Linked DNA regions of Macaca mulatta. The protein of the gene in region 1 interacts with the protein of each later gene in a pairwise test. Links are inferred from orthologs where the notes say so. Each region holds a gene or a part of one and is shown in the gene's direction. Other genes may lie near its edges.

Region 1 (4,253 bases):
GCTCCCTGTGGCTGTAGCATGATTGATTCAGGCAGGCCCCCTTTCACCCAGCATGCACGCCTATCAGCATGAGAAGATGAAGGAAGAGAAGAGGAAGAGTCTGGAGGCCCGACGGGAGAAGCTCAGGCAGCTCATGCGGGAGGAGCAGGACCTCCTGGCCAGAGAACTGGAGGAGCTGAGGTTGAGCATGAACTTGCACGAAAGAAGAATCCGGGAGCAGCATGGGAAGCTAAAATCAGCCAGAGAAGAGCAGAGGAAACTGGTAACTTCCCAGAGGCCTTCAGGAGGCTGTGGAGCAGGAGTGCCCCCAGCCTGAGTGTGTCGCACATATAGGGCCATTCCTGGCTGCTCAGGTCTGATGAGAGGCCAGTTAACTCCAGAGCCAGCAGGAAAGGAGCTTAAGTCCTTGTGCAGGGACTGGGTTTTGGATCAGTTAGCTGTATTCTCTTTAGCCCCTTCAGTCATTACATCTGAGTGCTTTTCCTTTCTTTCAGTTCTGTGGGCCCATAGAGATCTGGGAATAATCTGTTTTACCTTCCAAAGTAGTTATGTGAAACAGTGAGCCCTGATCTGTGCTTTTCAGCCTGCTGTATTATTTTGAGACCCCCTAGATAAGACCTCTGTGTAGCATCAGATTTTGGTCCCCTTTTGTCACCATTGCAAGAGTCACTTGGTAGTGCCCTGTGGTTCTTAGAGCTGTGCATGTGAAGCACAAGGGTTTGAACAGTGGGTGCAGTGACAGTATGAATGGAGGCACTCATAGCCTGAGCTGACTTCCACTGTGTGTCATCCAAAACGTGAATGGATTTGAAAACTGACATCAGGCTTTCCATTTTGTGTTTTCTCGATAGATTGCTGAACAACTTTTGTATGAACACTGGAAAAAGAACAACCCGAAACTTCGAGAGGTGAAAATCAGAGACCTCCATTGATTTGCCTAAGTAGATGAAATCATGTTTCCAGACATTTTTTTTTTTTTTAACACATATCTTGTACTGGGTTGAAACAGAGGAGGGAACCTTGAGCCACCTGAAAAGAGCGCCAGGCAGAAGATCTGGCACAGGCTGCACTGAGCGGTTCATTCAGTTGTTGAACAAATGTTGATTGAACCTCTGCTGCCTTTCTACCAGGTGGGGGCATGGGGATTAGACGTGGTTTCTGCTGTCTCCAGCACGGGAAACAGTGGATAGCTCATTACCAGGCAGGATGCAGGGTGCTGGGCCAGCCTGAGAGGATGATCATGGGCCAGCGCACTCAACTCTGGAGGGGTCGGGGAGGCTTCCCAGAGGGGTTCCTGGGGTGGAAGAGTTTGAAGGGATGTATGTGTGTAGAGGTGAGGAAAAGATGTTCTAGGTTGATGTGACTATGAGAACCAGGCCTGAGACTTGAGAGCAGAGTGAGCCCCGGGAGCTGAAAGTGTCTGGGTGAGGCTAGGATGTCAGATAGGGAGAACCCCAAGAAACGACGCCGGCGAGGCAGACGGTGCCAGACGCCATAAGAGCTTGTGTGACCTTCCTCTGAAGGTGCTGGGGGCGGCACACAGGATCCCGGCTGCATTTCAGAGAGATCCCTCTGGCAGCAGTGTGCCAGCTGGCAGGGAGGGGTGCTGCGACAGCCCAGCTGGGGGATGGTGAAGGCCTGAACTGGGCTGGCAGGGGAGAGGAGGACAAACTGCAGGAGAGGGGGTGGCCTCTTGGCTTGGTGGCCTTGTTCAGTGGAGATTTGGCTGCAGGGAGATCATCCCTCACTGTTACTAATTTATTTTCAACTTACAGTTTTTGTATACATTTGGTGCCTTCACGTTATTCGTAGTTACATTTAGAAATTGCCAGTCACTAAATAATGGAACATCTAGTGCTTTTGTGTAGTTTGCACTAATCTGTGGGGGGACTCCTTAGCCCTGTTGGCTTTGGTGGAATCATCTAGAGCCGTTAAATCAGAGAAGTTTATTCAGAACATTCAAGTTAGTTGCCTGTGTTCACAGCTCTAAGTTGGGAAAGATTATTGTAAAACTTTTTTGTAGAGACAGGGTCTCCCTATGTTGCTCAGGCTGGTCTTGAACCTGGGCTCAAGTGATCCTCCCACCTCAGCCTCCCGAGTAGCTGAGGCTACAGGTGGGCGCCTCCATATCCGGCTAATTTTATAAACAGTTTCCCAGACAAAAGATTTGGATTGAATGTTGTGATCCATTTTCTAATCCAGGAGATTCTCTGCGCTCAAATCTCTTACTAACAATCCTAAACTTGTTGCACCTACTGGCGCATCACTTGCTACAGGGAGCACATTTTCCATCTGCTCTGCAGAGCAAGCTTTGGGGAGCCAGACACAGAGTTGAGTCTTCTCCTCACCCAGCTGTCTCCCGGGGCCTGGCATGCAGGAGACCAACCCACGCTGGCCTGCGAAATTGTATTTCCATCTCAGCGTCCAGCTTAACCCCAGGGCTGGTGGGAAGGAAGTCTCTGTTACTTTGTACCAGCTCAGGAGACTGATGTAGGAGCGCCTGGTCCTTTGGTCTTCTGATTGACTTGCATTTACACTGTACGTGTTGAAGTCGCCCCACGCTCTCTACTGCATGCCTGTGAGGAGACTCACACCCGCCCCCTTCCATCCTCAGGTGGAGCTGGACCTTCACCAGAAGCATGTGGTAAACTCTTGGGAAACGCAGAAAGAAGAAAAAAAACAGGTGTGGTATGCGGCTCAGGGAATAGCCCCGCATTCTGCTGTGCAGGACTGTTGACACCTTTGAATTCCTTTACCGTTTTCAGCGTCAGTGACTCCAGTTAAGGAGTATAGTATACTCTTTCTCAGTTTACTTGACACATGTGAAAACTGAACGTTTGCTCTTACACATACCAGAATCCTATGTGATAATCCCAGGGCAGAATAAGGCCAGGTGACCAGGACTGGGAGGTGGCAAGTAGAGTATGCGTCTTCTTTTTTTCTTTTGGAGGCAGGGTCTTGCTCTGTCACCCAGGCTGGTGTGCAGTGGCGCAATTCACAGCTCAGTGCAGCCTCGACCAGCTGGGCTCAAGCAGTCCTCCTAACTCGGCTTCCTGAGTAGCTAGGACCACATGTGTGCACCACTGTGCCCAGCTAATTTTTTAGTTTTTGTAGAGATGGGGTCTTGTTCTGTTGCCCAGGCTGGTCTGGCCTCCTGGCCTTTTTTTTTTTTTTGAGACGGAGTCTTGCTCTCTCGCCCAGGCTGGAGTGCAGTGGCGCAATCTTGGCTCACTGCAAGCTCCGCCTCCCGGGTTCACGCCATTCTCCTGCCTCAGCCTCCCGAGTAGCTGGGACTACAGGCGCCCGCCCCTGCGCCCGGCTAATTTTTTCTATTTTTAGTAGAGACGGGGTTTCACCATGGTCTCGATCTCCTGACCTTGTGATCCGCCCACCTCGGCCTCCCAAAGTGCTGGGATTACAGGCGTGAGCCACCACGCCCGGCCATGGCCTCCTGGCCTTAAAAGATTCTCCCACCTGGGCCTCTCAAAGTGCTGGGATTAAAGGCGTGGGCCACAGGGTCCAGCTAGAACATGTGTTTTGTTTTTTGTTTTTTTTTTTTTTTTTGAGACAGAGTCTTGCTCTGTCGCCCAGGCTGGGGTGCAGTGGCCAGATCTCAGCTCACTGCAAGCTCCGCCTCCCGGGTTTAGACCATTCTCCTGCCTCAGCCTCCCGAGTAGCTGGGACTACAGGCGCCCGCCACCTCGCCCGGCTAGTTTTTTTTTGTATTTTTTAGTAGAGACGGGGTTTCACCGTGTTAGCCAGGATGGTCTCGATCTCCTGACCTCGTGATCCGCCCATCTCGGCCTCCCAAAGTGCTGGGATTACAGGCTTGAGCCACCGCGCCCGGCCTAGAACATGTGTTTTTAAGGGCTTTTTTGTCGCTCTTTTGATGAAATTTGCATCATAAACTCGCAGCCCTGGCTTCCAGTAGCCCCTTTGGGGTTGAGCTTCCACACCTCCGTGCACTGGTCGCTTTGCTGCCTGGTTCATTTTAGAAAGTGTTTTGTTGAGTGGGGAGGAAACCCAACATTATCAAGCCCCTCCCTAACTTGGTCTCTGAGGGCATTGTCATTTGGGATTCAGGCAGGATCTGCCTGGGCCCTGTGGCCTGCAGAACGGCGGCAGGAAGCTGGGTTTTTGTTGGCTTACAGTACAGATACTGACCTCCTGTGTTCATTCGGTCCCTTGTAGCAAGAAGCCACCGCAGAGCAAGAGAACAAACGGTACGAAAATGAGTATGAAAGGGCCCGAAG
Region 2 (4,854 bases), on another chromosome or scaffold:
CTAGGACTTGCAATAATAAATACAGATTTTTTTGCCTTTAGATTTATTTCAGAGGGAAAGTTTTAGAAACCTTTTAGATAATTATCTAAATTACAGATGTAACAGATCCATATTCACATTTATTTCTGCTCCTGTCATTTTTACTAATAGATGTTTCCAGCAATATGACTATTTCATGTAAATTTTCAAGTTTAATGTCCTAATTTTGTTCCTGATATTCTCTAATGATTTTTAATGCCTGTTATTAATGTAGTGATAACATATTTGAAATTACTGATGTTGGTTATTACAGCCTTCTTCATTTTTCCTTGATAAGTTTCACCAGAAATTATCTGGCTTCAATAAGCTGTTTAAAGGATTTTACTTAATTTATTTCCCTTATTTAATATTTGTTTTTCTTCATTGCTTTTCTTGGCCTTATTATTTGCTTCATTCTGCTTTCTTTGCTTTTACCTACCTAATTATAATTTAATTTGTTGACTTGGGTGATTATAAATATTCAGATATGTTTCCACTTTACAGATTTAGGCAACAAAATTTCCTCAAAGAAACTTACAGAAAAAAAAAAAATCCAATAATATATAAAACGATATATCATGACACAGAAGGGCTTCTTATTAGAAACAAATTGGTCAGTTAAATATTTGAAACTCATAGCTGCAAATAATCACATTAAGAGAATAAAGGGAAAAACAAGATTATCTCAAAAAATATATAAAACTACATGACAGAATTCAGTATGCAGTCATGATACGTACTCTCAGCAAAGTAGGAATACAAAAAAATGATTAATCCACTACACGTATCTGCAAAAATGACAAAACGCTTATATATGGAAATTAAAGACCATTCCTTTGTGGATAGTATGCCACAACACAGCACAGATGGGGTTGAAAGAAAGCAAGAGAAACAAAGGGCTGCCATGAATTAAACCAGTAGAGAAAATAAAAGCCTGGGTCATGCAGGGGACAGTGCCTTATTCAGCCAGCATCAGGAATGATTGAAGTCTGGGGCTTCTACACAGTGGGAAAACGAGCATAGTAATCACAATAAAGAAAGACATCTGAAAGGTGCTAACTTAGCCTCGGATCAGAAGCGCTGTCTGCTAATGCCTTGCTGGTGAAAAGCGTATCCTGCGTAAGCCCTCAGAAATCCCAGAAAACAAAGACCAAAAGAAACGACGCTTTGTCAACAGAGCAAATCGAAAAAATCTTCCAGCAGTGACAGGGCATTAAAAAAAAAAAAACGCAGACATAAGATGGAGTGAATCAAAAAAGGATTTATCTAATTCATGTATGAAATGTTTCAGAATCTATTGGATTCTAATTTTTTTAAAGCAGACAGATACGAAAATACAACGAAGACGTGCATGACTGAAACCAAAAGAGATTAAAGTAAAACCTCATTCTCCTGAGGAAACGGTGTGAGGAGGGAATTAGGGGCTGCCGGAACACAGCGAAGCAGAGGCAGAAGGCAGACAAAAGGGGCTGGGTTGGTCCCTGCCTGTGTGAACAAAAAATATGTCAGATTGGAAAATTGCGGTAAAATCCAAGCGCGGCGCGTACGTTGCCCCCACAGGAAGTGTCCGCCGCGCTGCCTGTGCCCGGAAGTAGGTAGGAACACACAGTCACAGGCAGCCAAGAACCGGGGGGGAAGAAAAAGAGATGCACACTTCCCCTAGAGAAGCCTCCGAGCGCGGCCGCGACTCCGGGCCTCAAGCCCATAAAGAAAAAATACCGGAGACGTTCTGGCACCATTTCGGGGTAAAGAAGCTGCCATGGAAGAGCCTGCAGCTCCCTCAGAAGCCCAGGAGGCAGCCGGGGCCCAGGCAGGTGCTGAGGCAGCAGGGGAGGGTGTGTCCGGGCCGGACCTTCCCGTCTGTGAGCCCTCCAGGGAATCTGCTGCTCCAGATTCGGCCCTGCCACATGCGCCTGTGGGCTGGGCCCCCTTCCCTGTAGCTCCAGTCCCTGCCCACCTCCGCACAGGAGGCCTGAGGCCTGCACCAGCCTCAGGAGGAGGAGCATGGCGCAATCCGTTTCCAAGCCGAAGCAGCGGCATTTGGACAAAGCAGATCATCTGCAGGTATTATATACATGGGCAGTGCAAGGAGGGGGAGAACTGTCGCTATTCCCACGACCTTTCTGGTCGGAAGATGGCCACTGAGGGCAGCGTTTCGCCGCCTGGGGCCTCTGCAGGTGGAGGCCCTAGCACGGCTGCGCACATCGAGCCCCCGACTCAGGAAGTGGCGGAAGCCCCCCCGGCTGCATCCTCCCTTTCCTTGCCTGTGATTGGCTCGGCTGCTGAAAGGGGTTTCTTTGAAGCCGAGAGAGACAATGCAGACCGTGGAGCTGCTGGAGGAGCAGGTGTAGAAAGCTGGGCGGATGCCATTGAGTTTGTTCCAGGGCAGCCCTACCGGGGCCGCTGGGTTGCATCTGCCCCCGAGGCTCCTCCACAGAGCTCAGAGACTGAGAGGAAGCAGATGGCTGTGGGCAGGGGGTTGCGGTTTTGCTATTATGCTTCCAGGGGAGTTTGCTTTCGTGGGGAGAGCTGTATGTTCCTCCATGGAGACATATGCGACATGTGTGGGCTGCAGGCCTTGCACCCCATGGATGCTGCCCAGAGGGAAGACCATATAAGGGCCTGCATTGAAGCACACGAGAAAGATATGGAACTCTCGTTTGCTGTGCAGCGTGGTATGGACAAGGTGTGTGGCATCTGCATGGAGGTTGTCTATGAGAAAGCCAACCCCAATGACCGCCGCTTTGGCATTCTTTCCAATTGCAACCATACCTTCTGTATTAGGTGTATCCGCAGGTGGAGAAGTGCCAGACAGTTTGATAACAGGATCATCAAGTCTTGCCCGCAGTGCAGGGTCACCTCCGACTTGGTCGTTCCCAGTGAGTTCTGGGTGGAGGAGGAGGAAGAGAAGCAGAAACTTATTCAGCAATACAAGGAGGCAATGAGCAACAAGGCCTGCAGGTATTTTGCGGAAGGCAGGGGTAACTGCCCATTTGGAGACACATGCTTTTACAAGCATGAATACCCTGAGGGCTGGGGAGATGAGCCTCCTGGGCCAGGTGGTGGGTCATTCGGCGCATACTGGCATCAACTTGTGGAGCCTGTGCGAATGGGAGAGGGCGACATGCTCTATAAAAGCCGTAAGAAGGAGCTTGTCGTGCTTCGACTGGCCAGTCTGTTGTTTAAGCGGTTTCTTTTACTGAGAGATGAGTTACCCTTCTCTGAGGACCAGTGGGACTTGCTTCATTATGAGCTGGAAGAATATTTCAATTTGAATCTGTAGCATTGTGCTGTGGCATGTGGTCTAGTCTGCTGAGGTTCTGTCGTCTGCTATTGCCTGTTTTCCCTGTGTTGACACTCTTATTGCTTTCAGGGGCTGTTGAGGCAGTGCTTCTGTTTTCTTGTCTATTCTGCATATCTTTCCTCCTAGGATTATGGTGATTATCTGTGTTTAAAAAAATAAGTCCTTAAAGTTACTGTTTTGGTGAAATTAATATTAATGTCAGCTTATGGCTTTTTTTGTCATCTCTGTTTTCAACAGGATTAACTCAGTTCTAGTGTAGTGTTTACTGAATTTCCACACTTATTTTGAAGACCCTCAAGAGTAAATGTGGCAGAGTGAAAGGAGAAGTTTTAATTGAACTAGTAGCTTTGTGCTATAATAGCCTTAACAAATGGACCCTCGCAGGGTCTTGCAGCTGCTCATCTGTTTACAGTTTGTTCTTTCCCTCCTTCCCCTTCAAGTGCACTTGTTAAACTGTGATGAACTTGTGATTTTGTGTTTTACTTGACCAAAACCAAGTGTATATGTTTACATGTTTTTATCCTGTTTAGCTTGACATGAAATAATTTATATTTGGAAATATATATTTAAGAATGATATATATATAATATATATGTATAAGAGCTATGTATTTGAAAATATATATAAAAGAATATACATCACAATATTTATGTTTATGTAATAAAGTAAATACAGAGCCGAAAGCTGAAGGTCAAAGCCTAACAGGATTGGCTGTTGTGTGGATGTGAGTTGTGTGAATAATCATTCTGTCCCTTGCACAGAAGCCAGTAATTAGCATCTAATGAAAAGGACTGTTCAAGTGGGTCTGGCCAAATGTAACAGATGCAGATCTTAAGAGGACTTACAAAGCACTATATTGGTAATTCTTACAATGGCATTAATAGCTCACTCTATAAAAACAGAAATTGTGTTCCTACGCAGTTTTGCCACCTTCTCAATAATTCTTTGTAACAGCAAATCCTAGGCTCAGAGGCACAGTGCTTTGTATTTGATATACAAAGTCTCTAGACTTTCCCAACAAGGGGCTTTAGACAAAAGATTTCAACATAAAAGTAACAAGATTATAAAAGGGAAAATAGAACAAAAATACTAAAACCAGTGAGAATAAAATAATGGAAAGATAATAAAATATAGAAAGCACTAAAAACTAAGTGTAAGAGTAATATAGAAAATTTACATACAACTTAGATTAAATGAAAGCAGTTTAAAGACTGAAAGTCAAAGGCTATAAGACTTCATTACAATCAAAATGAAACATCCTATTTAAAATACACACAACATAAAAATACAGAAGCATTCAAAGTAGTAAGATGGGAAAAAAAACCAAACAGGTGCTGTGACTGTCTTGATTGTAGACAATGTTTATGGTAAGGATAAACACTTTGCTGGAGATAAAAAGGAATGATACATAAACATTAAATTGTAATTCACAGGAATATATAACTGTTCAAATTTTGTATACATTTAATAATGTTGTATCAGATACACAACTGATAAAAATAGAAAATCCTAACTCCAGACTCTTAGTGGAC
Region 3 (4,695 bases), on another chromosome or scaffold:
GAGGCAGGCCGTCTCTGGGCTCCTCACCTCAACGGAGGCACTGCAGAGCAAGGCCAGTGGCCAGCACCAAGGGACACCCCACAGCACCCCGAGGAGGCCCCGTCTTGGTGCTCCCTCATCCCTCCAGGCCTTGGTGTTGGATCAGGCTCTCAGGCCAAGGCCACACCCACTGTGGGCAGACCTTGTGCCAGTGACCGTGGGGAGGTAGGTGAGAGTCGGGTATACTGGCCCCACCTGCAGGCATGGTGGGAGCCTGGAGAGGGCCAGAGCTCTGGGTTCTGGTTTCAGCTCTGCAGCTTAAAGCAGAGTGACTTTGAGTGAATCTCCGCCTGTCTCTGGTTTCCCCTCTGTTCCCTCTGATCAAGAAAATGATGCAAATTTGAGATGCACAGAGAGAGGGCTCAGGGTGATGGAACTGGCTTAGGCAAGGAGAACAGGCAGGCAGGTTCACATCTCAGCTTCCAGTGACTGGTGTCTTGGAAAGCCCACTTACCCTCCCCGAATCCCAGCTCCTTCACCTGAGAACTGGTGTCAGGAATAACGCCCCCCTCATCCTCACTCACAGAACCGTACAGCACACACCAGGCTCTCCGTGCATGCCTGAGTGTGCCCATGACGAGTGCTCTCCCCCAGCTCAGCTGGATGAATGGAGCTGCCAGGTCCAGTCTGGGATCTGTGGACATGGGAAAGAGAACTGCTGGGAATGGATCCCCAGCCAGTCCTGTTTCTACAGGGTCGGGGACTCTGAGGCCCTTGGCGGAGTCAGGGGTCACACCTGGCTACAGTGGCAGGACGGGCTCCCTCCCATCAGCCTGCAGGTGGGGTGCCTGTGATTAGGAGAGGGCGGTAGAGGAGTGGAGGAGCTAGGTGTGGGGCTGTGGTGTTCTTCAGCTGGGAGTGTGGGGGGTGCAGGGTCCCGCGTAGGGGTGTGGGAGGGTGCCAGTGTGTAGAGGTGAGTGTGAGGAGCAGGTGGCTGAAGGGGCAGGATGGGGAGGCTGAGGGGCAGGGCTGGCCCTCAGGGAAGGGCCGGTGGGGTCCTGCGCGCATGTTTCTTTGTGGCTAGTGGTGTGTCATCCCCTTTTACACATGAGAAAACTGAGGACCAAGGGGTTATAGGACCGGCCTGTGCTATGCAGCTGGTAAGGGCAGAGCAGGGACTTGGTGCCGCCTGTCTGGCTCCATGGCCGGTGCTGTTTGTATGGTGCACACACTTCTGGAGATCCCAGGGGCTCCAGGCAGCCTCCAGAACTGGAATTACATCCAACAAGGGAAAGAGAGTCGTAGGATTTTTAGAACCAGAAGGGACTCTGCAGTCACCCAGTCTAGCCTTGTCACCACCGAGGGGAAACAGGCCCAGAGATGGGAGGTGGGGAGCCTCAGGCCACACAGCAAGCAGAGTGAAGGCACGAACTCTGCCCCTGCCCAGAGTGGGACATGTAGGATCCCCACAACTGCTCCCCAAGACAGCCCGGGATGGCGTCGCTGAGGTATCTTTCAGCCAAGGCTGTCACTGTGGGGCAGGGAGTTCTTCTGAAGGGCTGACTCACTGCCTGGGGACGCAGTTGCCACAAAGCCACCTGTGCCAAGGCCCCACTGGCCCTGAGGGCTCCAGGAACGGGAGCCTGATTCCCGGCTGCCTAGCCTGAGTCACCACCTACTTGCATTTGTGTGTTTTTCTCTCAGCCCCACACCCCCAAAGCTGGGTGGGAACTCCGAGCCGGCACACAGTGGAGTTGATCCTGGGCTGAATAATCCAGAGTGAGGAGTAGGACGGGACCGGGAGTGATGAAATCCGGAGGGGAACCCGGAGTCAGCAGTTAGGAGAGCCCCGCCTTCCCCAGGTGCATATAAAGGTCTCTGGGATTGGAGGCAGCCACAGCACGCTCTCAGCCTTCCTGAGCACCTTCCTTTCTTTCAGCCAACTGCTCGCTCGCTCACCTCCCTCCTCGGCACCATGACCACCTGCAGTCGCCAGTTCACCTCCTCCAGCTCCATGAAGGGCTCCTGCGGCATCGGGGGCGGCATCGGGGGCGGCTCCAGCCGCATCTCCTCCGTCCTGGCCGGAGGGTCCTGCCGCGCCCCCAGCACCTACGGCGGGGGCCTGTCTGTCTCCTCCTCCCGCTTCTCCTCTGGGGGAGCCTGCGGGCTGGGGGGCGGCTATGGCGGTGGCTTCAGCAGCAGCAGCAGCTTTGGTAGTGGCTTCGGGGGAGGATATGGTGGTGGCTTCGGTGGTGGCTTGGGTGGTGGCTTGGGTGGTGGCTTTGGTGGTGGCTTTGCTGGTGGTGATGGGCTTCTGGTGGGCAGTGAGAAGGTGACCATGCAGAACCTCAACGACCGCCTGGCCTCCTACCTGGACAAGGTGCGTGCTCTGGAGGAGGCCAACGCCGACCTGGAGGTGAAGATCCGCGACTGGTACCAGAGGCAGCGGCCCAGTGAGATCAAAGACTACAGTCCCTACTTCAAGACCATCGAGGACCTGAGGAACAAGGTGGGTGACTGGTGTATGGAGCAGAGAGAGAGGCTGGCACTATAGTGGCCCTTGGGATACCTCTTTTTAGCAATTACACTTTACAAACAGGGAGACTGGGCACCTTTGGAGAGTGGCCAGGATCACCCAGGGAAGTGGTGGCAGAGGGTCCTTTTCAGCATCTCTGTGCCCGGGCTGGGGCTGGAACCCTGAATCTCTTATTTCCTGCAAGGGTTCAGCTGCAAGTTCAGCTTCCCTGCCTTGGAACCAGGAAGGGGGTGATTGGGATGGAGTGTGTCCCTACATACCCTGAGCTGGTGGAGAAGGCAGCCCTGCCAGCCAGGAGACTTACAGATTTGGGGAGGTTCCTTTTGCCCCTTTCTGCCTTTCATGCTCAAGTAGTAAGGTCCTTGGCTGACCAGGGCTCCTGTCCTCCATCCCCACTCCAGATCATTGCAGCCACCATTGAGAATGCGCAGCCCATTTTGCAGATTGACAATGCCAGGCTGGCAGCCGATGACTTCAGGACAAAGTGAGCAGCCAACATGGTGGGCTGGGGGCAGAGGGCAAGGGACAAAGAGTGGGGCTCTGTCACTGTGGGGCAGGGAGTTCTGTCCACCCAGCAGGGCCAGCAGACCCCGAGCCTCAGAATCCTCAGGGCTGCAGCTGAGGACCTGACCTCTGTCCTGCCAGGTACGAGCATGAACTGGCCCTGCGGCAGACCGTGGAGGCCGATGTCAATGGCCTGCGCCGGGTGTTGGATGAGCTGACCCTGGCCAGGACCGACCTGGAGATGCAGATCGAAGGCCTGAAGGAGGAGCTGGCCTACCTGAGGAAGAACCATGAGGAGGTGCGGTTGCTGCTGGCTTCCGGGGTGGGAGGCTGGTTTGGTGGGGTTGCCAGATGCACCCAGGGCCAGGAGAGGAGTCTGCTGAGCTGACTGCCTCCTGCCATCCCTTCCCAGGAGATGCTTGCTCTTCGAGGTCAGAGCGGTGGAGATGTGAACGTGGAGATGGATGCCGCACCTGGCGTGGACCTGAGCCGCATCCTGAATGAGATGCGCGACCAGTACGAGCAGATGGCAGAGAAAAACCGCAGAGATGCTGAGGCCTGGTTCCTGAGCAAGGTGGGGCTCGGGCCCTCAGTGAGCCTGCAGCACTTCCCAGCCGGGGGCTTTGGGAGAGCCTCACCTTTCGTTCTGCTTTCCTGTCTCAGACCGAGGAGCTAAACAAAGAAGTGGCCTCCAACAGCGAACTGGTACAGAGCAGCCGCACTGAGGTGACGGAGCTCCGGAGGGTGTTCCAGGGCCTGGAGATTGAGCTGCAGTCCCAGCTCAGCATGGTATGAAGGACCCGGTACAGCAGCAGCCCCCAAGCCACCAGTAATGGCCACCACCCCCTCAACAAGCCACAATCTAGTTCCACCTTTCTTTTCTCAGGATGGGACCAGAGGACTCATGGGACCCATTATATAGACAGAGAAATTAAGCCCTAGAATAGTGGGCTAGCTTTTCTCCATATTGTCTGGCCCGTCAGTACCCCAACTGGGATCAAAATCCAGGCACCTCTCAAAAAGCATGCCCAGAGACCTGGAGGGACAGGAGTGACCACCTCCATTGACTCTTTCTCTCTTTCGCTTGCAGAAAGCATCCCTGGAGAACAGCCTGGAGGAGACCAAAGGCCGCTACTGCATGCAGCTGTCCCAGATCCAGGGACTGATCGGCAGCGTGGAGGAGCAGCTGGCCCAGCTACGTTGTGAGATGGAGCAGCAGAGCCAGGAGTACCAGATCCTGCTGGACGTGAAGACGCGGCTGGAGCAGGAGATCGCCACCTACCGCCGCCTGCTGGAGGGCGAGGACGCCCAGTGAGTCCCAGGCCCCCCAGTTCTGCCTCCCAGACCCTTTAGACCCCCTGTTGCTCTCAGCACAACTGACTGCCCTGCCTTTTCTCTCCCACAGCCTTTCCTCCCAGCACGCATCTGGCCAATCCTATTCTTCCCGCGAGGGTAAGTCTTCTGAGGCTCCCCCGCACTGCAGCCCCTCTGCCTGTTTCCACGGAGTGGGGGCAGAGCCCTTCTCCTCAGAGCTCCCAGCCCTCCCTTCTCCCTGCCCTGGAGTCCGCTCAGCTCTCAGACTCCTTCTCACCTCTTCTTCTCTCTCCCACAGTCTTCACCTCCTCCTCCTCTTCTTCGAGCCGTCAGACCCGGCCCATCCTCAAGGAGCAGGGCTC

What was found.
Region 2: the proteins of TCHP (region 1) and MKRN3 interact in binary tests that used the Homo sapiens proteins (3 or more experiments, as listed by UniProt). The two-hybrid records come from large-scale screens. The link is inferred for Macaca mulatta from reciprocal best matches to the Homo sapiens genes TCHP and MKRN3.
Region 3: the proteins of TCHP (region 1) and KRT16 interact in binary tests that used the Homo sapiens proteins (3 or more experiments, as listed by UniProt). The link is inferred for Macaca mulatta from reciprocal best matches to the Homo sapiens genes TCHP and KRT16.

Annotation. Positions count from the first base shown.
Region 1 is NC_133416.1:117,069,554-117,073,806, forward strand, and holds part of TCHP (trichoplein keratin filament-binding protein), read left to right. Parts: intron 1-51; coding exon 52-262; intron 263-851; coding exon 852-908; intron 909-2,614; coding exon 2,615-2,683; intron 2,684-4,191; coding exon 4,192-4,253. UniProt on the Homo sapiens protein: Tumor suppressor which has the ability to inhibit cell growth and be pro-apoptotic during cell stress. Inhibits cell growth in bladder and prostate cancer cells by a down-regulation of HSPB1 by inhibiting its phosphorylation.
Region 2 is NC_133412.1:6,385,553-6,390,406, reverse strand, and holds the start of MKRN3 (E3 ubiquitin-protein ligase makorin-3), read left to right. Parts: upstream 1-1,668; 5' UTR 1,669-1,777; coding exon 1,778-3,301; 3' UTR 3,302-4,854. UniProt on the Homo sapiens protein: E3 ubiquitin ligase catalyzing the covalent attachment of ubiquitin moieties onto substrate proteins.
Region 3 is NC_133421.1:65,946,570-65,951,264, reverse strand, and holds the start of KRT16 (keratin, type I cytoskeletal 16), read left to right. Parts: upstream 1-1,509; 5' UTR 1,510-1,841; intron 1,842-1,874; exon of another isoform or gene 1,875-1,918; 5' UTR 1,919-1,954; coding exon 1,955-2,488; intron 2,489-2,916; coding exon 2,917-2,999; intron 3,000-3,160; coding exon 3,161-3,317; intron 3,318-3,431; coding exon 3,432-3,593; intron 3,594-3,682; coding exon 3,683-3,808; intron 3,809-4,109; coding exon 4,110-4,330; intron 4,331-4,424; coding exon 4,425-4,471; intron 4,472-4,631; coding exon 4,632-4,695. UniProt on the Homo sapiens protein: Epidermis-specific type I keratin that plays a key role in skin. Acts as a regulator of innate immunity in response to skin barrier breach: required for some inflammatory checkpoint for the skin barrier maintenance.